Daphnia pulex: one gene and its partner. The protein of the gene in region 1 interacts with the protein of each later gene in a pairwise test. Links are inferred from orthologs where the notes say so. Each region holds a gene or a part of one and is shown in the gene's direction. Other genes may lie near its edges.

What was found. The genes of interacting proteins can lie anywhere in the genome.
Region 2: the proteins of GPN-loop GTPase 1-like (region 1) and GPN-loop GTPase 2-like interact in binary tests that used the Homo sapiens proteins (3 or more experiments, as listed by UniProt). The link is inferred for Daphnia pulex from reciprocal best matches to the Homo sapiens genes GPN1 and GPN2.

Annotation. Positions count from the first base shown.
Region 1 is NC_060025.1:7,097,313-7,108,042, reverse strand, and holds GPN-loop GTPase 1-like, read left to right. Parts: upstream 1-3,958; 5' UTR 3,959-4,081; coding exon 4,082-4,327; intron 4,328-4,396; coding exon 4,397-4,735; intron 4,736-4,792; coding exon 4,793-5,022; intron 5,023-5,089; coding exon 5,090-5,313; intron 5,314-5,385; coding exon 5,386-5,477; 3' UTR 5,478-5,633; downstream 5,634-10,730. Other genes in the region: WD repeat-containing protein 46-like, read left to right, coding at 703-1,602, 1,665-2,054, 2,132-2,374, 2,443-2,538, 2,615-2,713, 2,775-2,903; uncharacterized protein C1orf131-like, read right to left, coding at 3,026-3,564, 3,640-3,796; GPN-loop GTPase 3-like, read right to left, coding at 5,646-5,727, 5,794-6,009, 6,065-6,582, 6,652-6,696; AP2-associated protein kinase 1-like, read left to right, coding at 7,174-7,312, 7,378-7,742, 7,810-7,952, 8,022-9,071, 9,139-9,371, 9,440-9,544, 9,688-9,723, 10,684-10,730. UniProt on the Homo sapiens protein: Small GTPase required for proper nuclear import of RNA polymerase II (RNAPII). May act at an RNAP assembly step prior to nuclear import.
Region 2 is NC_060019.1:10,646,306-10,657,405, forward strand, and holds GPN-loop GTPase 2-like, read left to right. Parts: upstream 1-3,730; 5' UTR 3,731-3,878; intron 3,879-3,957; exon of another isoform or gene 3,958-4,030; coding exon of another isoform or gene 4,031-4,858; intron 4,859-4,920; coding exon of another isoform or gene 4,921-5,028; exon of another isoform or gene 5,029-5,170; 5' UTR 5,171-5,187; coding exon of another isoform or gene 5,188-5,282; intron 5,283-5,345; coding exon of another isoform or gene 5,346-5,456; intron 5,457-5,518; coding exon of another isoform or gene 5,519-5,699; 5' UTR 5,700-5,709; coding exon 5,710-5,749; intron 5,750-5,807; coding exon 5,808-5,897; intron 5,898-5,955; coding exon 5,956-6,161; intron 6,162-6,221; coding exon 6,222-6,336; intron 6,337-6,390; coding exon 6,391-6,917; 3' UTR 6,918-6,937; downstream 6,938-11,100. Other genes in the region: tyrosine-protein kinase Btk29A-like, read right to left, coding at 1,323-1,676, 1,790-2,057, 2,147-2,308; mediator of RNA polymerase II transcription subunit 7-like, read left to right, coding at 2,809-2,994, 3,052-3,522; proteasome assembly chaperone 3-like, read left to right, coding at 5,188-5,282, 5,346-5,456, 5,519-5,699; probable RNA-binding protein 46, read right to left, coding at 7,820-8,008, 8,079-8,126, 8,192-8,263, 8,325-8,457, 8,521-8,815, 8,881-9,055, 9,118-9,295, 9,357-9,508 and 2 more; uncharacterized protein LOC124190102, read left to right, coding at 10,876-11,058. UniProt on the Homo sapiens protein: Small GTPase required for proper localization of RNA polymerase II and III (RNAPII and RNAPIII). May act at an RNAP assembly step prior to nuclear import.

The DNA of each region.
Region 1 (10,730 bases):
ATCTCTCAAAAGTCTCTACGTCTCGATTTTTGGGCGAACTTGCTGATGGTCCCAGTTCCAGGAAGACACAAACCGCCTAAAATTCACGACCTTTATCAACAGTGAATACACCGAAAATAAAGACGCTTAAAGGTTGAGATGTGATATCATTATTTAGATCGTCCTGACGGAAATGTTGCGGTTGCACTGTTGTACTTTCGTCGTATCCCACAACGACTTTTAATTCCCCATAATTCGAAACTAAGAGACATAACACATAATCCATACAATTTTAATTTGAAGGGAGGAAAGGGTACGTTGTTTTTAAAATTAATTTGATGCATTAAATTAGGGGACAGGGATTATACGTCAGTCAGTTGCCTATATCTGCTGATTAATTATTTGCCGGACAAATGTTTTTTATGAAACATGTAATAAGTGTTCATAGTAGTACGCGTGGTCATGGTTTATGTAAGAATGTCCGATGTTAAATTTGAAATTTGAAAATTCTTTATTCGTTTGAATTTTGAACTTTTTTCTTTTCTAATTCTCGTCTGCTATATTACATTATTTTAATGTGGCAACTTTGCTAGCAGACGAATTAAAATCCAAATTTTTAACTGAAGTTTCATTTATTTTTTACTCACGTGGGCATGCGTTCGACTGCAGTATCATTCAAAGAAATTAACACAGTTTGAGCAATAAACTATTTCTGTTTTCAAAATGAGTTCTCCGAAAGGCAGCGAAAAAAAGCCAGCTAGTGAAGTACCCTCAACTGCAACACAAAATCTGAAAAAGAAATTCAAGCCTCCAAAGGACGAACATTTACTCCGAAAAACTAAGAATAAAAAACCTAACAATACTTTTACTAAAAAAGCTGAAGGTCGCGTGGTTAAGAGACAACTACCAAAGTTTAAGTCTTCACATGGAAAAACTCCTAATTCGGGTGCAGTGCAGAAGTTTTCAAGATCTCCGAAGACTGGCCAAAAAGGGAAAGAAGATACACAAGACAATCAAACTGAAGAAGATCCTTTCCCAGGTGATGCGCCGATTCCTCATGCCAGACTCCAGAAGCACAAAAGAGGAAAGGCAGAAGACCTTGACAAGAATGGTGTCACTTTCCTTTCAAACAGAATTCATTTGAAGAAAAAGGAAAAACTCGTCAAGTATGCAGTTAACTTAGCAGCCAGATCAGAAATTCTGCTGCCAGAGGAAACTGGTTTCCTTGAGCCTGCCAAGGGTGATTGCACTTCGGAAATTACGCAGGTACAGATCAAGAGTTCTGTGGATATTACCAGTGCCACGAAACAATTTGATTTATCCATGCAATTTGGTCCGTATGCCATCAATTACTTACGTAATGGACGAAAAATGCTCATTGGCGGTAGAATGGGTCACGTTGCTGCCTTCGATTGGGTCACGAAGCAGTTGACTTGCGAAATGAACGTTATGGAATCAGTTCACGATGTGGCTTGGCTGCACAATGAGACACTGTTTGCAGTAGCGCAGAAAGAGTGGACATACATCTATGACAATCAGGGCATTGAAGTGCACTGCATCAAGAAATTGAACAATGTTCTCAGGATGGAATTTCTTCCATATCATTTCCTCTTGGCTACCACAGTAAGCAAATAATAATGCATTTTCAAATCCTCTCGATTTAATTATTTATTTGTCTCTTACAGAACGATAGCGGAACTTTAAGTTGGCTGGATGTTTCTATGGGAAAGATGGTTAAGCGGACTCACACACACCTTGGAAGACTGGATGTTCTGTGTCACAATCCCAGAAACGCTGTCCTTTGTTGCGGACACTCGAAGGGCACAGTTTCGATGTGGACTCCCAATTTCGTATCGCCTGTTGTCAAAATGCTTTGCCATACGCAGCCCGTTCGATCGGTCGCTGTCGACCAGAGTGGTGTTTATATGGCCACATCCTCTATAGATTGTTCGCTGAAGATATGGGACCTGAGAACCTACAATTGTCTTCAATCCTACAAACTAGGCTGTGGAGCTTCAAATATTACATTCAGTCAAAGAGGACTGTTGGCTGTATCCATGGGCAACATTGTTGAGGTATTTAACTAGACAACATTTATTTTCTAATTTAGCAAAGCCTTATCGAGGTTCGTGTTCACCAATTTTTATTTCAGGTCTATAAAGACATTTGTACCGAAACCATCCACAAGCCGTATTTAAAACATTTCGTTGGCAGTTCGGTTTCGGGCTTGAAATTTTGTCCTTATGAAGACGTGTTGGGCGTAGGCCACGCAAGAGGGATGTGCAGCATGTTGGTACCGGGAGCTGGAGAACCCAACTTCGATGCTCTCGAATCTAATCCGTTCCAGACTAAAAGCCAGCGACGGGAAACAGAAGTCAAATCGCTTCTTGAAAAGGTTACAATCAAAATATTTTACCAATTGCTTCAAACAATAATTTCGTATTCTCTTTACTACCTCAACAGATTCAACCTGAACTCATTACTTTGGATCCCTTCGAATTGGGTGAAGTCAATCGGCAATCAGTGATTGAGAAGTTCGAAGAAAAGACTCGTTACATGGTATAGTGGTTATTTAAAAACTTTTATTTGTGTTACGCTTTATTCTTTTGTATTTAAATCTAACTTTACTCTTTAGTTTGTTAAGCCTCCAAAGATCGACGTCAGACAGCGGAAAAACGCTAAAACGGTTAATCAGTTCCGCGTCAAACAACGTCTACAGTTACAACAACGACTGGTTTGTTTTCTCATTAAATTTTTTAAACTGCCCAATTCTTAATCCACTCCTATTTGCTTAGAAACATGCGGCGGCTGCCGAAAAAGCGACGAAAACGTTGACAGAGAAAACAGATAAAGCGCCATCCGAGCCAGTTGCTGCACCGAGTGTACTGGACCGATTTAAGCCCAAACCCCAGAAAAAGAAATAAAAACTCGACATCCGAAGTGGTGACAAAAAAGAAAGAAAACTGACGTTTTTCATTCGAATTGTTATGGAAATAATTTACCAGGACGTGAAAATATCACAAATAAACATTGTATTCTCATTAAGTCATTTTTTAGATTTTTTTGCATTCTTAATTTGTTTTTGAAGTTTTGGACCAAATTTTCCAAAACCAGCATCAAAATTAACCACTTTATTTCTATCCCTCCTAGGACCCTTCTTTTTGTTTGGTAATTGTAATTTAGTGGCAAATATGTGTTCAGCTTGTTTGAGTCGCTTTTGTCTTCCTTCTTCCTTTTTCTTGCAGTGCTGCATTACTTTATAGTTGACTGGCATAGCCTTTGGAGGCTTTGCTCCTAGGGACACTGCAAGAGCTATCTGAGCTTGATTTTTGCTGGTCTTCTTCAAGGCTTTTATAGTAAATTTTTTAACTTCATGTTTTGTCTTGATCAGGTTAAATTCTTCTGGTTCGGGAAAATTGTCTTCTACTTGAGACAATGAATTTTGTGTAGCCTGGCTTTTCTTGAGCTTTTTTCGTTTGCTAGGGTCATTGTATACAACAATTAGAGGCTCTGATTTCCCGACTGTCAATGGTTTGGGCTGCTCTTCTATTGGTGTTGCAAGTTTGTTTTTTAATTCCTTGAGGCCTATAAAAGAATGACAATTAAAAATTGCATGAACATAAAAAAAAAAAAAAAAAAAATATAGAAGCTCTAAAGTACCTAGTCTACTTTGAAGTTGCTCTAGATGTTTGCTCAATTTTGGCTTGCTAGATTGCGGTTCCGTGATGGGCTTTGATTGGCACTCATCACTAGAAATTTCTTCATCCTCGTCGTCAAAGAATGAATCGTCATCGGAATCTGAAAATGTTGGAGCCATTTGCGTCAGAACGAATCAAAACTCACACAAGTTAAATGCTTTCCTGTTATCTACACGTGACTGACAGTGTCACTTCAGTGAGGATTTGGTAAAAGAATGGCAAAGTGCAGACGAAATTAATGAAGTATAGAGGGAAGCACTAGTTCTTCTAGCAGACATCTTTTCAAACAAACACGTTTTTCTCTTGTTTTCTTCTTTTGCTCTCGCTTGTAGTTTGAACACGTTAGTCTTTGAGCTGAAGAAAAAAATTGTTCATTATCAAATTAAATTTTTTGTAAACTCACCATGGCGACAGCTGAAGATCCAGTAAAAAAAGCAGAAATTGATCAACCTTTGCTCGAGAGACACAAAAAACCAGTTTGTTTAATTGTTCTCGGCATGGCTGGTTCGGGGAAAACGACATTTGTACAACAGCTAACGGGTCTCCTACACATGAAAAAGAAGGCACCTTACGTGATCAATTTAGATCCAGCTTGTAGAGAAGTACCTTATCCAGTCAACATTGACATAAGAGACACAGTCAATTATAAAGTAAGACATCAATTTTTGCCTACTTGTTGAATTGTCATTTATATATAAATATTTTTTTACTTGCATTAGGAAGTAATGAAACAGTACTCACTTGGACCTAATGGTGGCATTGTCACTTCGTTAAATCTCTTTGCCACAAAATTTGATCAAGTTATCAAACTGATACAAAAAAAATCTGAAAACACAGAAATCGCTATTTTTGACACACCAGGGCAAATTGAAGTTTTCACTTGGTCAGCTTCTGGATCTATTATCTCAGAGACACTAGGTGCTCTTTTCCCAACAGTAGTGGTCTATGTTATAGATACTGTTCGTAGTGTCAGTCCTGTAACATTCATGTCAAATATGCTATATGCATGCTCCATCCTCTACAAACTCAGACTACCTTTTATCATAGTCATGAACAAGGTATGTCATATTTCAAAATTATAGATAAATCAAAATTGATAAATTTTTTGTTGGCAGATTGATGTTGTGAGTCATAAGTTTGCTCTGGAATGGATGAAAGATTTTGAGATGTTTGAAGAGGCAGTGGAAAGAGATAAGAGCCACCATGCAAATCTATCACGATCTTTGTCTTTGACATTAGACGAATTCTACAAGGATATCACTACTGTTGGTTTTTCTGCTGTTACTGGAGAAGGATTTGAAGAATTTCTGGCCGCTGTCGATGCCGCCGTTGTTGAATACGAAACGTAAACGACTATTACTTAAATTTAATTTCGGCAGAACAACTTATTGAAATTACATTTTCTTTCATAGAGAATACTGCCCAGAACATGATCGCTTGCTAAAACTTCAAGCCGAAGCCCGTACGAAGGATAAAGACCGCCAAAAGAAAAAATTTCAACACGATTTTGACAACGATGTACAAGCCCAAAGTGTATCAAGTGCGACATCTGAAATATTGTTGCGCAATCGAGCCATCGGCGGAGAATCCAGTAGTGATGATGAAGAACACGAAGGGCGCCCTGGAGACGACGATGGTATACATAAATATTTTGTGATTGTGAATATAGTTAGCTTATTCCTAATAACCAATAATTAATTTTTGGCAGATGAAGAAGACCGAGTTGGTCAGAAATCATTCCACAACTTCTTGGAAGAACAGAAGAAGAAGCAACAGTCGAAATCGAATAAACCTTCGTAAATCCTAGCGCCATCTTCACTTAACACCACTAATGTTACGACAATAACATGATGTACATCAATGTCATCTGAAAATACAAAATATACAGAAATGCTGAAAAAATTGCGGTGTATTGTGTTTCAAGGAAAAAGAAATAATAAATTCGTAAGTAAGTGATATTTAATTGACTCATCCCCTTCCTTCTTCGTAACCGTCATCGTTGTCCTCGTCTTCCTCGTCAGGAGCATCAAATTCCGCCATTTTTATATCCCTGAACAGCAATTAATGAATGACTGATCTGTTTTGTAACCCTTTGCTACTATAACTAGAAAGGTACCTGTCTTCTCCAAACTGCATGCAGTTGTCCACCATGAACAGAATATTGGCGAGATTGTCTTCGTCCGTTATATTAAGCGGTGCGAATTTGATTAGAGAATAGTCTTCCAAAACTCGGCCAATCATTTCAGTAAGCATCTGATGTTTTTGATTCCATTTTGAATTGACCACAACCGTATCGTTCGCACATATGTCTTTCACGTCCGGCTCCAAAAATCTACACAAAATGCAGGCATTAGTTGAGGAAAACTGTTGAAATGATAAGTTCTCACCTTTCCAGTTGCTTTTTACTCTTCTTGCTTAACAAATCAATTTTACTCAAGATGCTGATGAATGTAACCTCCAAGGTTGTCATGGCACTTAGAGCAGCCATTGATGCTGATATAAATGATGAAGAGTTTATCATAAAGTGACTGTCTAAGATAAAGACAGCACACAATCTGAAATTCCATAACTCTAGTGCTTCCAGCAATTTCTTCATAACATTGAGATGTGTGTATAGCTCAATCTGTCCAGGGCAATCAAAAATGAAGTAGTCATCATCATCTTCTCCAAGTTGATTCTCTAGCCACGGCAAATTTTCCAGAAGAAACTCCATACAAAAAACAAGAGCTCCATTTGGTCCAAAATGCATTTCCTCATCTTCCATTGCATCGTCCACATGAATGAGGTCTCGAATATCGATGGACGGTTTATATTCGAAAGACTCGGCTGCTGGATCCAAATTTACAATGTGAATATTTCGTCGAGAAGTTTCAGCATGTCGTTGCATTTCAGTGCAGTAGGTGGACTAAAAACAAATTCATTTTGTTACATCTTTTTTTAAGGAAACATTGATTGGTTTTTCATCTAAACTTACTTTTCCAGAGCCTGCTGGGCCAATGACAATTTGTGCATATCTCATTTTATTTCTAACAGGAAATCTTTTATATTTCAGACACGTGAAACACTTCAATTCCAAAATGACTATTTTGATTTGGTTTCCTGCGTCGTCTGCAATAGACTGTTGCTAGGCAACAGAACCGATTGCACTGCCAAGTGCTCAAGCGAGAATTTTGTGAAGCTTCTGACAGGTTTTATAGGGGGTGGAAAAGAAGCAAAATCCCGTTCGGAAGACGAGAGAAATTTCGGAAGATAAGAAAATTATTTGGATTCGTGTTCCAATGATATTCATTTATTTCGCATGACGTCTTTTTCGTCGTGATTCTGCCACCCCAGTTTGACGTTCCTGTTAATCGTGATTCGGATTATCTCTTTGTCTTCAGCTGTAAGTTTTTCTGTCAATTTATGTCGCAATATCTCGGTTGCTTCTTTTCTATATTTGTAGATTTTCACTATATCGTATATTTTTCCCTAACACACAGGCTGTATATAGTTAATCATGAAGAAATTATTCTCTAAAATTGAGACAAAAATTGACCCTTCTCAGAAGGAGTCTAAAGGTGGTCAGAGCCTTGTTGGAAAAGTGTTTCAAGTGGGAAAACAGTACTCTGTCACAGTTGAAGACATTATTGCCGAAGGTTTGTAATTTTATTATCAAATAATATTGAATTGTTTCACTTTTAATCCATGAATTCTTTTCTAGGTGGTTTTGCAATTGTTTTCCTAGTTAAGGCATCTAATGGCAGTCGCTATGCTTTAAAACGTATGCATGTCAACAATGATCATGACTTGGCTGCCTGCCGAAGAGAAATTCAGATTGTTTCTACACTCAATGGGCACAAGAATATTATTGGATACATAGACTCCAGCATCACACAGTCAAGCAATGGGGTGTATGAGGTGCTTCTCCTTATGCCCTTTTACAAGATGCATGTCCTCCAGTTGATGAATGAAAGACTGCAGACAGGCTTCTCAGAGCCAGAAGTTATGGCTATCTTTTGTGACATGTGTGAAGCTGTTTCTCGGCTTCATCACTGCCAGACACCCATCATACATCGTGATCTAAAAGTATGTCTAGGATTTATTTTATTAATGCTGGACTAAGAATGTAAACTATTAAATCGGTGTTTCACAGGTGGAAAACATTTTATTCAATGACGCTGGCCATTACGTCCTTTGTGACTTTGGTTCAGCTACGGCCAAGGTGCTTAACCCATCCACAATGGGTGTGGCTGTTGTTGAGGAAGAGATTAAAAAATACACTACATTGTCCTATAGGTAATATAAAATTATACTGCTGTTGGAATAAGTAAAAAAAAAAAAAAACTTATATAATGCCATATGTAGGTCTCCCGAAATGGTCGATTTATACATGGGGAAATCCATCACAACCAAGGCAGATATTTGGGCCCTTGGTTGTCTCCTGTACAAGCTCTGCTTTTTCACGCTTCCTTTTGGTGAATCGACACTAGCCATCCAGAACGGGCAGTTTAATCTGCCTGAAGGTCACCGGTATTCTAAGCAATTAGTTTCACTTGTACGCTACATGCTCGATCCAGATTCGGATCGCAGGCCAGACATCTACCAAGTCTCGTATGCCGCTTTCAAACTTGCTGGTAGAGGTGAAACTCCCATCGTAAACCTCCTCCATAGCGTGCCTCTCGAACTAGATCAACTTCCGTCTCTTGATACACGACCTGCTCAAGTTAAGCCGATTACTACACCAAGCATGCCAAGTACTAGGGTTTTAAGCAGCCAGCCACCTGTTGTTGAAGGTGGGACGACCGTCACTCCTCGGCAACGACCCAAGGCTTCATCCATTACCAGTACTCTAGGTCAAATCCCACTACCTACCAATAGTCTGAATCCCGCTCGGCGCGTCTTGCCAACTACTACCGCTGAGCCTACACCGCTTCAACCAGCTGCTCCAGCTAATCCGATATCAGTGCAAGAGCTCTTTCCATCTTTCCCTCAAGATCCATTTGTCGAAACTTCCCAACCTAGCCCGGTAACCGGATCCGGTCAAGGTTATTTCAACTATGGTTATGGCTATCCGGCCGCAGCTGCCAACGCAGCAGCAGTGCCTAGTTGTCCTCCAACTTCTACGGCTACTGTTTCGCCACAACCGGCCAGCCTTCCCCCTTCCGCCTTGACGCCGGTTGAATTTCGAGAGACGAGCCAGACGCAATCGGCTGATCCACTTTGCTCGGTTGATTCCCGACAAGAGGCTGATATTGCTCAGCGTTCGTCTATCAGCAGTAGCGCCCCTCGGTTGAATCCGTCGGCTGGTAGGACCGCATCGCTAGACCCTCCATCGTCGTCGGTGACACCACCAGCTTCACCCACTTCACACCATAGGCATCGTAGGAACATGAGCGACACTTCGGCTTTCACGAAGTAAGAAAAAGATTGTTATTCTCAACATTAACAAAATTTAATCTAATTATTTTTTCTCGTTAATAAGAAGCTACGCCGACGAGACGAACCAATTTCTAAAATCATTTGTGCCTCCCTCCCAAGTGACGGGCGAACCATTCGGACAGCCAGACACGATGGCGGCAGCTGTAGATGGAGCGGCCTTGGTAGGTCACGTTGCCGTCTGGAATCCCTTTGACGACCCATCGCCCTTTTGTCAGCTGAACGAAGATCACCTGTTCGGTGCCGAGTTTGATAAAATCCGTCGTGGTTCCCAAAGCAGTAAGCTTGTTTCAGATTCGTTTATTTACGAAATGGCCGTCTGACGTTTTCGTTGTTTGTTTTTTCAGGTATAGTCAATGTAAAAAGCAGAGAGAGTTTAGTGATGAACGCTGCAGAGGCTGGCACTGCTGCCGAAGATCCGTTTGGAGCTGCTCCGTTCCGCCTTCCGCCAGGTAATCATGATTAATTGAACTAGTGTTTTGCACACAGTAGACCTTATGCGCTTTCAATTTTTTTTTATTGTTTGGTTATTTATTTTTGTTTTTTGTTTTGTTTTGCCCAACGCTTTTATCACTTCCGACAATGACTACCACAGGTCGGAAAAAGTTACCGGTGGCGGCACTCGATGGAGGTAATTAAACATACACAAAAATCATTTAAGGAAAAAGCAAATCGTGTCTGTGCAAAAGAAACCTCCCCCTCCCAACAACCTCGAAAACTCCTCTGCTCGGCGACAAGTTAACATCCCTCCATGTTTCACATCCCCCTCCTAATCTTTTCTTCTACTAACTCTGTTGTCTAGACAAAACTATATCAAGTACATTAACTTTTTGGGGTCTTCCAGTCAATTATTAACGTGGATACCATAATCTTCTTTTCTCTATAATATGATTATAAACGAGGCCCATCATAACTGGTGCATATTTACTGCGCTGGCCTCCTGTCGGTTCATTTACTCCTCCCTTTTTTTGACCCTTCTCCCATCTGTTCACACTAGTCAAAACTTGCATAACATTCAATTGTTTCCGTATTTCCCGTCTTTTCAATTTAGCCGCATTCCATATACATTATCCATCGTTAATCATATCCAGTTTTTTTTTCTTATTCCCATATTATAATTTTTTTCTCTCCATTAAAACGACATTGTCGTATGGCCGATCAAAGCTCATTTTCTTCTTTTCCCCTCACGAGAGATATAATACTAATAATAACACAGTGGCTTCACGTTATAACTTCTCTCCACTTCCGCTTTGATTGTTGTTGCTGTTGGTCTGCCGAACAAATAAAACCTAAACAAAACAGTGTATTTCAGCGCACTTTTTGCGGTTGTGTAGCCATTACAATTTGTAAAAAAACAAACAAAATCGAACATCGAGTTACTCACACGCATGGTTAGGGGGTGGTTATGTAACTTTTTTATTTGTTTATTTTCATGTAAATTCGTACTGGTTATTAAGTTGTGTTGGAGGATGCACGGAGGGGGAGGCGGAAGAGTTTGCACTTCTTTAATCAAGTTCAGCATGCATTACTCGCATTCAAGTTCAAATCGGGTGTCAACTTAATCGTGTGTATATGTGTGTCGATAACTTAGTTTCCAAGATTAGCACAGCTGGCAACGGGCCTGCTCCTGCACAGGTG
Region 2 (11,100 bases), on another chromosome or scaffold:
TTGTCGGAAGGCAAGCCAAACCCAAGTGCACATAAAGACCCACCGCGATGGTTTACGATTGTAACTTAACGCATTGAACACCTGTTGAGTCATTCAACAGGTGACTTTCAGGTGGGAGTCAACGTGAATAGCCTGTGCGATTTTCGATTGCTCAAGGGTAGTAACATGAGAAGAAAACCGATGAGAGAAAAAAACAACACAACACGGTGAAGCCGAACCATACCTAGAGTCAATTTACTTTCGGTGATCTTATAAGAGAGAGAATCCGAAGACATTGTGGACCAAATAGGCCAGCGGCAACCAAAAATGCGCATAATTTGCCCGTTAAAACCTCTGAAACATCAGCCATGTACGTAAAACTTACATACACGCATTGAAACTAGAGAAACAAAATAGGTAGGGGCGAGCTGACTGCAAAACTTGCACTACAACAAAATAGATTTGAACAATGGACCAAGGCAGCAGGTGGAAGCTTATCAATAATTCTCACGTTATTTTTTATCTCGTAAACACAAGCGCAACACTAATCGAACTGACAGGTAACTATTTCAGTATCTGAATGAAACAAACGTAGGCTGTTTTTCTGAGAGATATGAGAGACTGTGCTGTGCTGGCTTCATCATCTCTCCCACACTTTCGCGTAGGAATAGTCCAGTTTGTCGTTTGCTTTCGCTCTCACACGGGACTTGATGAGATGTGCAGTCCTCTTCTCGTCATTAGAGAAAAAGAAACGTGATTTATGAGAGACGCGGTCAGTGCCCACTGAGTACAGGGAGAGGGCTAGAACTAAAAACCGCCGAAAGGAATAAAAAAATCTCGGGGAAAAACAAGCTTGTGTGCATTCTCTAGGTCTTCTTCTCTCCGACCGACCGCAAATCCCCAACATTTTTCAATAGAGAAAATTTTCATGAATATTGCCAGTACCAATCTCACACAAGTTTTCTTTCTCTAAACCACTGCAGCGCCACACGCAACACTCACTTCTCTAGTTTTCTAATAATTAGTTGATCTTTTCAGCTATCCGATAATTTAGCTTCGCAAGTGAAGTGGATGTAATAACTTTATCCATTTAGTTTTTTTTACAAGGAAAACAAATTGAATCTATTCCAACGACGCAGTTTCTTAGAATGTGCTTCTATTGGCTTAAATCCCCCTCCCTCCCAAAGTCCTTGACTAAGGATTTGATGCGAAATAACTCAACATTAACTGTTGTTCATGTACTTAGAAGTCGTACAACTACTGTTTCCTAGAAGTATTGCAGGCAACGAACGGGTGTAAATCATTAGTTAGCACTTAGTAGGATACATAAGCGGGTATAGTACCTAACGCAACAACGGCGTTGTGAGAAGTGGAAGGGGATGCAGGAACAACATCCCCGACGATTGCCGGATGAATTTCCGTCGTGGGTTTAATCGCCGTTGGTTTGACCATGGCCGCCTCGACTTCAGCCCCATTCGCAGGTTTAGCGACAGGACTTGGTGAGGGAGACGGATGGTGGATGATGTTACTGAAATTGATGCCCATGTGTTGAAGTGTATTGGGAGCCCAAGTTACAGAACGGCAACCGTTTATTGCCTTAGACGTGGACCTTTGGGTTGATCCACAGCAAAGATAACTTCTATTCCCCCACAGGGCAGGGTGATACACATTCACAAGAGGAGCACTGTCTTTGACCACTATCAGGAGAAAAATAAAATAAATTATTAGATGAGATAAAATGAACATGTGAGATAAATACTGCTATTTGTCACACATAACTACTTGAGACGTCAAAAGAGAATGTTCTCACCAACTCGGATATTCCAAAGCCAGATATCTCTTTCTTGCTGAGTGGGAGTGAAAATGCAAAGAGTCAAGTCTGTTGCACTACAACCTTCATTACACTCATAAGGATTGTACACTATCTGAAAAGCAGGAGATCCCTTCAAATCACTCGGAATGGAACCTGTAAGGTTTGCCAATGGACCGATGGCAGGTGTGTCAGGTGCTGGATCAACAGCTTCCACAACTTTCACTGTTTGGAGGTCGACACGTCCCTTTTCTTTTCCTTTGCGATTCTGTTGTTTGGAATTGATGGTTGTGATGAATTAGTGATGAAGGGATTCACGAACACAGTCCATGCGTGTTTAGTAGAACTAAACCTTACCTCGCATTCGCCCTCGTAGTAGGCGAGGAACTTTGTGGTAAGGACGAACCATCGACTCTTGTAGTTGATCAAACTAAACCTCTTCTTGTTCTGTGATCGTTTCACTAAATTGCCTTGCTTTTTTACCTCACCTGCAAGAGGTTTGGCAGAGCTTTTAAACATACTTACAAAACGATCACTAATCAAAAAAGTAGTCCCCACTTGATAAAGCTGTTATAACTTCGTTCATTGTCTTTCTCCCTGGACCCTGGTACGAAGAGAATGAAAGCAGGACGAAGAAAAAGCTCTCCAAACCTCTCTAAATACTGGCAACTCGGACAGATCTAGCGGCAGTTGCCGACAACTATTATCGGATTTAATTTCCTCCGAAAATTAGCGATAAAATCGAGGAAATATACATTTAAAATAAAAAAATAAACAACGATTAATTGATTTAATGACAATTTAATGTAAAATTGAATTCTTTTACAACATTCTAAATCAAATTTGTTTCCATTCAAGAATGGCGTGTCGGGACAGCCACAAAAAGGAGAACATTGATCAAAAAATAGTCTGCTGAAATCCCCAAGCAAACGAACTAGAAAACGTCACATTCTTCATTCTTGAAAACAAACTATATTGTTTACATTACTATATTGCTTCATTCCAGTGGGAAAGTAAAAATGTCAGAAACGGCTCAAGTTAGTTCATTACCTTTGCCACCGATGCAATATGTCAGTCTTTTTAATGAAGAAAACGCTAAAAGAGGAAGAACACCGAGACCACCTCCTCCGATCACAGACAATTATTCCATGTTTGGTAATCCATATAATACTGATGATGCTGTGATCCGACCTCTTGAAAGCCAGGTGATAGAAGTTTTTTCTTAATCAAAGCTTTCTTTAATACTCGTTTTACTATTCCAGAATATACGACGTCTGTACCCTAATAACTATGACCACAGAAGAGAACTGAAAAAGCTCAATCACTCCATCACTGCTAGTTTCCTTGACTTGGTTGATATCTGCATACGAAATCCAGAGTCTGAAGCAAGAGCCACAAAAATTGATGACCTCACTTTGCTTTTCATTCACATGCATCATCTGGTCAATGAATTTCGGCCTCATCAAGCAAGGGAAACTCTTAGAGTTATGCTAGAACAACAAAAACGACAAAGATTGGAAATTGCAGAGCGTTTCAGAAGACATTTTGACAAAGCTTGGGAATTGGTTCAGCAGGCTGTCAACACAATTCCTGAACCAACTGAAGGCAACATCAAGCTCCTTATAGATGTTGAACGGGTTCAACCTTCAGAAGGCAATGCAAGCAACCAAACTTCTGGGAATGGGTGTACTGAGGAGGATCGTGTTCTGTGTCAAATGATTGATTCTTTGTGAATTCTGTGTTATTTTATGTTTATTCAAAGTGGAAAATACATTCGATCTACTCGCCTTTCTGATGTAAAATAGTCTGCTGTTTTATTTTTAATCGTTTTGGGACAAACATAATCTCGGTGATTTATTTTTTTTTAAGAATTTTTATTTTAAAATAATTATTGCAATAGATTTTTCTATTTGTATTTTAGTTGATAAATGTTGATGATCCACCTAAATTAAACATCTAGATCAAATTGCAACGTTGTTTATTCGTTTTAGTCCGTCTGCAGTCGCTGTAACATATTTTTCCTTCAAATTTTTCCTCTTGAAAGTTGATTCGAAACAACAATACCGTTGAAGTTAATTCTCTGCTTTTGGTAAGTGCATTGCTGTTAATTTAACTGTATATTGAACCGGTCTATCGATAGTTATTAGTTTTATCATTTCGCCTTGCAGGTAACATTCAATTGTTATAGCCAAAGCAAGTTTTTACACGTGATCATCTTTCGTTAGTAGAGTAAATTTTAAAATGACTGAAAGAAAAGTCAGCCCAGTTCCCGTCTATAACAATATCCTAATGGAACAATTTTTTGATGAGATCCATCCCAAACGAAGTCCTGTCATACTCAGAGGATTAGACATTGGAAGTTGTCTAGGAAAGTGGACAGCTGAATATCTTTCGCAAAATGTTGGGAATAAGCCAGTGAAGATTCATGTATCTGAAACAGGGCAAATGAATTTCCTAACCAAAAACTTTCATTATAAAACACTGCCGTTTGATCAAGTAATCAAAAGGTCTTCTGAAAATGAGCACGAAAACTTTTTTCTAACAAACAGTGAAGTTTACTATTTAAGGGCACTTGGAACTGATTCAAGGGGAAGAGAGGTTGCCAATCTTGATTCTCATTATCCTGAACTTTGCCAAGATTTTCAAGTTCCCAAGTTTTTGGAACCAAGCACTATTTTTTCAAGTGTCCTCAGGGTGGCTTCTGAAGGAGTTCAGTTGTGGACACATTACGATGTGATGGACAATCTTCTTGTCCAAGTCACTGGCAAAAAACGAGCCGTTCTCTATTCGCCAGAAGACCTTCCGTATCTCTATTTGGAAGGCGACAAATCTCGGGTTATCGACATTGATTTTCCTGATCTGGAACACTTTCCGGAGTTCGCCAAAGTAACATCTCACGAATGTATCATGGAGCCCGGAGACGTTCTTTTCATCCCGGCTCTGTGGTTTCATAATATGACATCACTCGAGTTCTCCGTAGCAGTCAACGTTTTCTGGCGAAACTTGAGTCCAGAGGTGTACGATAAAAAAGACCCTTACGGCAACAAAGATCCGCTACCGGCCTCAAAAGTAAGGCACTGTCAAAGCTTCAGGGCCTCGGTTATTTTTCTATCTCAACTTTCAAACTGCAGGCGTTGGAGATGGTTGAATCTGCTCTGAAACACCTGTCCATGCTGCCTGAAGAGTATCAACGTTTTTACAAGAGGAGAATGGTTTCTAGAGTTTTAAAAAATTTTTGATTATTGTGATCAATAAATTGGATAAAATTTAAAAAAAAATGCATTTATCACATCATAATTAGTTGACGTCAATTACCATTTTATTGCTTTCCATTCTGTTATACGACCACTAATTTTTACGAACCATTTTTATATCTTTCAGGTTGGATATCGTTTGATATGGAAGGTGTAGCGGGAAGATTTCCCGTCCAGACTAAAACAGAAACTATCGAGATTAACGGGAATTCAACAGAAGTTGTCATTTCAAAGTTCAGGTTGGAATAATTCTTTAGTTCATTGCTTGCATTACTTACACTTTAATTCATTGTCCTTTTTAGCGACAAGTTATTTATCATACTTACTCAATACGGCAAGGTGGGAAACGTGGTTGAAGTCCGTCGGGACGTTGCTCAGAAAGACGATTCTTCCAGTGCAGTTTACAGCGTTCGGTAATTCTTGTATGTCGTCTCAATTTCGTTTCGTTTTTTTAACTTTCATTGCAATTTTGTAGAGTCTTATTCGGTCGAGACGACGAGGAAATTCACGTTGCTGCACGTTTCTTGGTGAACTTTATTCCAACACAGCAAAACATTTTATTTGCCTTGTCACTTAAAGACTATCAGCCGAAAACTCTTCGTCAAGTTGGCGAATTCCTAAAGATCAACCTTTCCCTCACCGAAAAATCTGCATAAATTTTCCAACATGTCTGTAAGAAAAACCATCTTCGGCCAAGCCGTTATCGGTATGTAGAAATTACGTTCGTAAATTTGCTACACATTTTTACCGTGTAATGTTATAAGGTCCTCCCGGTAGCGGCAAGTCCACTTATTGTCATGCAATGGCGGATTTCCTTCGATCCCAGAATCGTAAAGTAGCTCTAGTTAATTTAGGTATTTTAAAATGTTATTATACTTTTCCAATCAAAATCTCTAATATGATTGTGATTAGATCCTGGGAATGATTTATTACCGTTTACCTCTTCCATTGATGTATCAAAATTGATTACTGTCCAAGATGTAATGGAAAATTACAATTTGGGTCCGAACGGCGCCTTGGTCTATTGTATGGAATTCCTCGAAAAGAATTTGGACTGGCTCTTTGTGGAAATAGAGAAATTCAAAGATCATTACTTCATCTTCGATCTACCGGGACAGGTATATTGAATACAGGTGATACTGTTTTCTAGAAAAGTTGTAATAATCTTTTTTGTGTAGGTTGAGCTCTATACCCACAACAATTCTGTAAAAAACATTATGAAACAGTTAGAAGCATTTGGTTTTCGTTTATGCTGTGTTCAACTGATCGACTCTCACTATTGCAGTGATCCAGGTAAACCCGCATTTGTTAACAGATAGAACCATAGTAACCAAACATTTGTATCAGGTAAATTCATATCGGTGTTGTTAACGGCCATGACATCCATGTTCCAAATGGAAATGCCACAGGTTAACGTACTGTCTAAAGTAGACCTGGCTGAACAACATGGACGGCTGCACTTTGGTCTCGACTTTTACACTGAGGTGTTGGATTTGAATTACCTGTTGGAAGCAATCAATGCGGATCCTTTCATGAAGAAATATCGGCAGTTAAATGCTGCTTTAATTGATGTGGTAGAAAACTACAGCTTTGTTTCGTTCTTGCCTCTATCCATCTCTGACTCCCAATTACTAAAGAATGTTCGTGCTGCTGTAGACAAAGCTAATGGTTATGTGTTTGGAGCCGGCGAAGAAAATGAAAGAAATATCGTTGCCTTACTATCGACAGCTGTGGGTGCACAATTTCATGGCGAGTTTTCTGGAACAATAAGTGAAAAATTTCTGAGCTCTAATAACTGTGATGAGGATGAAGCATCTGATAACGAAAATTCCATGTCTGTCGATGAATCTAAACCCCTTTCGGAATTTAAATAGATGGTTTCATATTCCCTCAATTTTTGAATTTTATTCGTTTTTGTGTTCATCATCAAAGAAAAATTAGTAAACTAAAGAGGCAAGGTCCTTGGTTATCCTATAAATCAGGCAACTTAGAAGTCGAACACACTTGCAAATAGGATTATGGTTTCCAATGGAAAAAAATTAATAATTAAAAAACAACTCGGAGGCATGATTTTCTTAATCGGGTTTATTGGAACAGCAAGTCAGAAAGTACATGTTTCGTTTTGCTTCCATAAATAATAAGAATGAGAACTGGATTAAATATTTTTCAAGGCACAAACATTGAAAGTGATACAGAACAATAATCAACAGTTAAGGAAAAATGATGCAACCCACAGAACCCATTGAAGACTCACAAAATTATTAAAATCCATTTGGACGCAAATCGAAGTAAAAAGAAAAATAAATTGTTTTGGAATTATTTTGAAATACTATAAAGAATTTGTTTGATTTTTAAATTTAGCATTTGTTTCGTTCATGGATGAACTTCTAAATATTTCTAATGCTATTTTTATAAAAAATTTGCTCTGAAATTGAAACAGAAGGTAACCTTCAGTATTTAAGTATCTACGTAAATCAGAAATCCTTGTAAATATTCTTATTAATCAAAATGTTAATTTATGGTTGACATTAATGGTAATTTACGTTAAGAAATCAAATAAGTTAAGTTGAAGTTTGCAATTGGTTCTGTGGGACAAAGAGTAAGGGGAAAAAGACATTAAAATGCATCAGATTTGCACTGAGAAAACTATCAATGCAGTGTGAAACTTCAAACGGAGTAATAAAAATAAGAGAATGAAGTACATTAATAAAAGAAAATGCCTCATTGGCAGGTGGAATTCCATACCCGAATAACCATAAGTAAATATGTGGGATATCTACGGCATCATTGGACGAGACGGGAAAGGTGAGATGATTTGGAATGGATTTACACTGACGTTTCCATTAAAACCCACGCGATTCAAGTTGTTAATACAGCCCAGCTTGTGAAACTGAGTGTTGAGGCCATCCATCGGGAACTTAAGTGAGTCGCGAGTCATCCCAGAACGACTACGCTCCTCTGCCATCTGAATTAATAGGAATAAAACCCTAAATTAATGAAACTCTACTAATAGTAAATACTAGTTTAAAATTTACCCAGTTCGGTTGCGGATGAAGCGGTGGTCCAAAATTAGTGAACATCATCTAAAGAAAAAGAAATGGTAAAGTAAACATTAACCCTGATGGTCGAATTTTAATTGTAATCTTACCGGATCAGTAGTTTTGCGCATGCGGTTGTTGGTATCCGCCATAATGCCATGAGTGTTGTAGTTACGATTTCCCTATTAATAAAAAAATAAAAATTACGGTGACTTGATAGATTTTTAAATACAAGAAAATTACGTTGAGGTCAATAGTTGCGGCTTGCATGAAATTTCCTTGATGTGGGAAAACTGATGTCGACGAATTCGAAGGAAATCCAGTTGGACTTGACTGAAAACCACCGCCGTGGAATGGAGGAGGCAAAGTAAAGACGCTGTGGGAAAATTAATAATTTAGCAACTTTTCAAGCAAGAACATTCATTTAAGTTACGATTACTTTGGAATCTGATTGGATAACGGATGCGGCAATTGTTGCATCATTGTACACGGTGGCAAAGTGACCGGGGGACACTGAACCGGACGTGGTGGCGGCGATGACAATATGCGGTTGTTCTGAGCGGAAAGAGCAAACTTTGGTGCCGGTTTGCAAGGACTGTACGACGAAGTAGAAGAGACCGAGTTCATCGAAACCGAAGACGTTTTTCTCGATGGCGGCTTAGATTTGATCGCTTTTTTCTCCTTGACTGGTTTTGCCCAAGTAATTTCGATCGTCGTGCCATTGATCTCCGTATCTGTAAAGTTTTAAAATTAAAGCACATTAAATTAACTGCCGTACACGAGGAATAAAATGACTTACGATTCATGTTGCGCATGGCTTTCTCAGCTTTTTCTCTGGATGAAAAATGAATAAATGCAAAATCACGCATCATTTTAAGCTTCTGCACATTGTCGTCTGATACACGGTTGAATAATTCACGCAGAACTTGTTCTGTTGTTGTCAGCGACAAGTTGCGGACGTACAGGACCGTAACCTAAACGAGAAACAATATATTTCAACTCTGGTTCGGTTACACGATTAATGCAATAATCATACTTGCGACATGACGTCTTCTTCGATTTCATTTTCCGGTTCGGCCCAGTCAACAGCTATCTCTTTACCCCACAACTGAATGCGGTCGGGAATCAACTTTCTACGGGCCTTGGAAGCTGCACGATGATTAATGTACTCGACAAACGCAAAACCACGATTTTTAGTTTTATCTGTGATGGAACTGAATGCAAAAACGTAAAGCTTAAGGTTAAATAGATTTAAAATAATTTAAACAGACTCACCTGTAAACGATGACTTTGGTTACGCCTTCGGTCAGCCTTTCCATTTCACCCTGAATTTCTTCGCGAGATTTGGTTTTAGGTATACCTCCAATAAATAGGCGACAATTGTCGATCGATTTGACCACGCCAATGTGGTGTCTTGGTCTCAATTCCTGGATAAAATAAGATCATCAATAGTACATAACATGTGTTCTATTTCAAAAGTGTTGAATAGTGTTCTATATGCACATACATAGTTGTCCATCAACTGAATCGCGCGATTGGCATCTTGTCGGTGAGCGAATTGGATGAAGGCAAAGCCACGATTTGAGCCGCTGAAATCCATCATTAAACGGAGCTCGTAGATGGGGCCGATTGTAGAGAAGATTCGATACAATTCATCTTCGAACACATCACGTGGTAATTTCCCCACAAATATTTCAGTCCCTTTAGGAGGGGGAGGGCCTTCCCAATCTGTTTTGATAACGTGAGCATTAAGGACTACATTATCAACTTAACAACGTGCACTAGGGGTAAATTAATAAATCTTAACACTTGAAGTCGTGAATGCCAATAATTCATGCCTTTAAAAAAGATTCAATATTGCAACATAAGCCCGCCAAAATTAAAGGAAAAAGTGGGTACGGAAGATAATGAATTTGAACGTTACTCACTTGGAGGAGGACCGCCGAATTTCCGTTGACCATTTTCTTGAATGATTTCGCAGCCAGTTTCTTGCATGAGCTTCATCAAGCTTTCTTCTCTCTTCTGAATAGCCAAAATCTCGTCTATTTCAAATTCTTTGCAGCTTCCCATGTTGAAATATTAAATGAATTAAAAAATATGTAAAGGTTTCGATCGAATGGCTACTTGATTCACGAATTTCTGGACACCACTGAAGTGGTGACTGCCTTCGTCTGGAAGATGCCCTTAACTAACCAGTAACCAGAAAAAAAGATTTCAACACGAGGTCGAAAAAAAATTCGAAAGGAAGGGGAACTCGAGGATCATGAGACTGAGGCTTCTGATTGGTTGGTAACATCCATCACCGCTAGCAGTTTGAAATTCGAATTTTGTGTCAAACCCAAAGTAATGTTATAAAAATAAAGTGTGAACTTCCATTTTAATTAAAACAAAATAGACTAAAATTATTCCAAATCGATAGCAAAAAAGTGTTAATCGCATTAAAAAATTCAAATCGTTGTTCGCATTTTTAAGCGCCATCTTTTTCCGGTCTTAAAAAACGCCCTCATGGCATCCCTGCTTTCTCAAATCCATAGCCTACGTAAGGCTATGCTCAAATTTGACTGATTTTTATTTCAGCTTCGGCTTCAAAACATGTAAGCATGGTCTGTGTGTATCAAGAATTCGAAACTTAAAAAATAATCTTCGAAATATCGTATTGTCCCCTTTATTCTTTATAAATAGAAACGAGAAGAATTTGCACGACAAGATTGCAAGAAAGTAAGTTCATTTTAGTTTATTTTCACTACAAAACCTGTGTTTATTAACTTGAGGTTTCCAGGATAGGAATCTCAAAATGGACCTAAGAAAATCATGGCTGATATCTGAGAATGATTACAAGGAGGCAAAAATAGCAGAAGTGAAAGAGTACACTGAGAATAAGCAAGGCAGTGTGGCTCAAAAAAGTCCACAGAGTGACAACGGTGGTAATTTCCCCAACTTGTTGAAAACAGGTCAGAATAAGCGGATAGCAAATCAGGTAGTGTCTTAAAGATTGTGTTAGTTCCACAAATCCAGTATT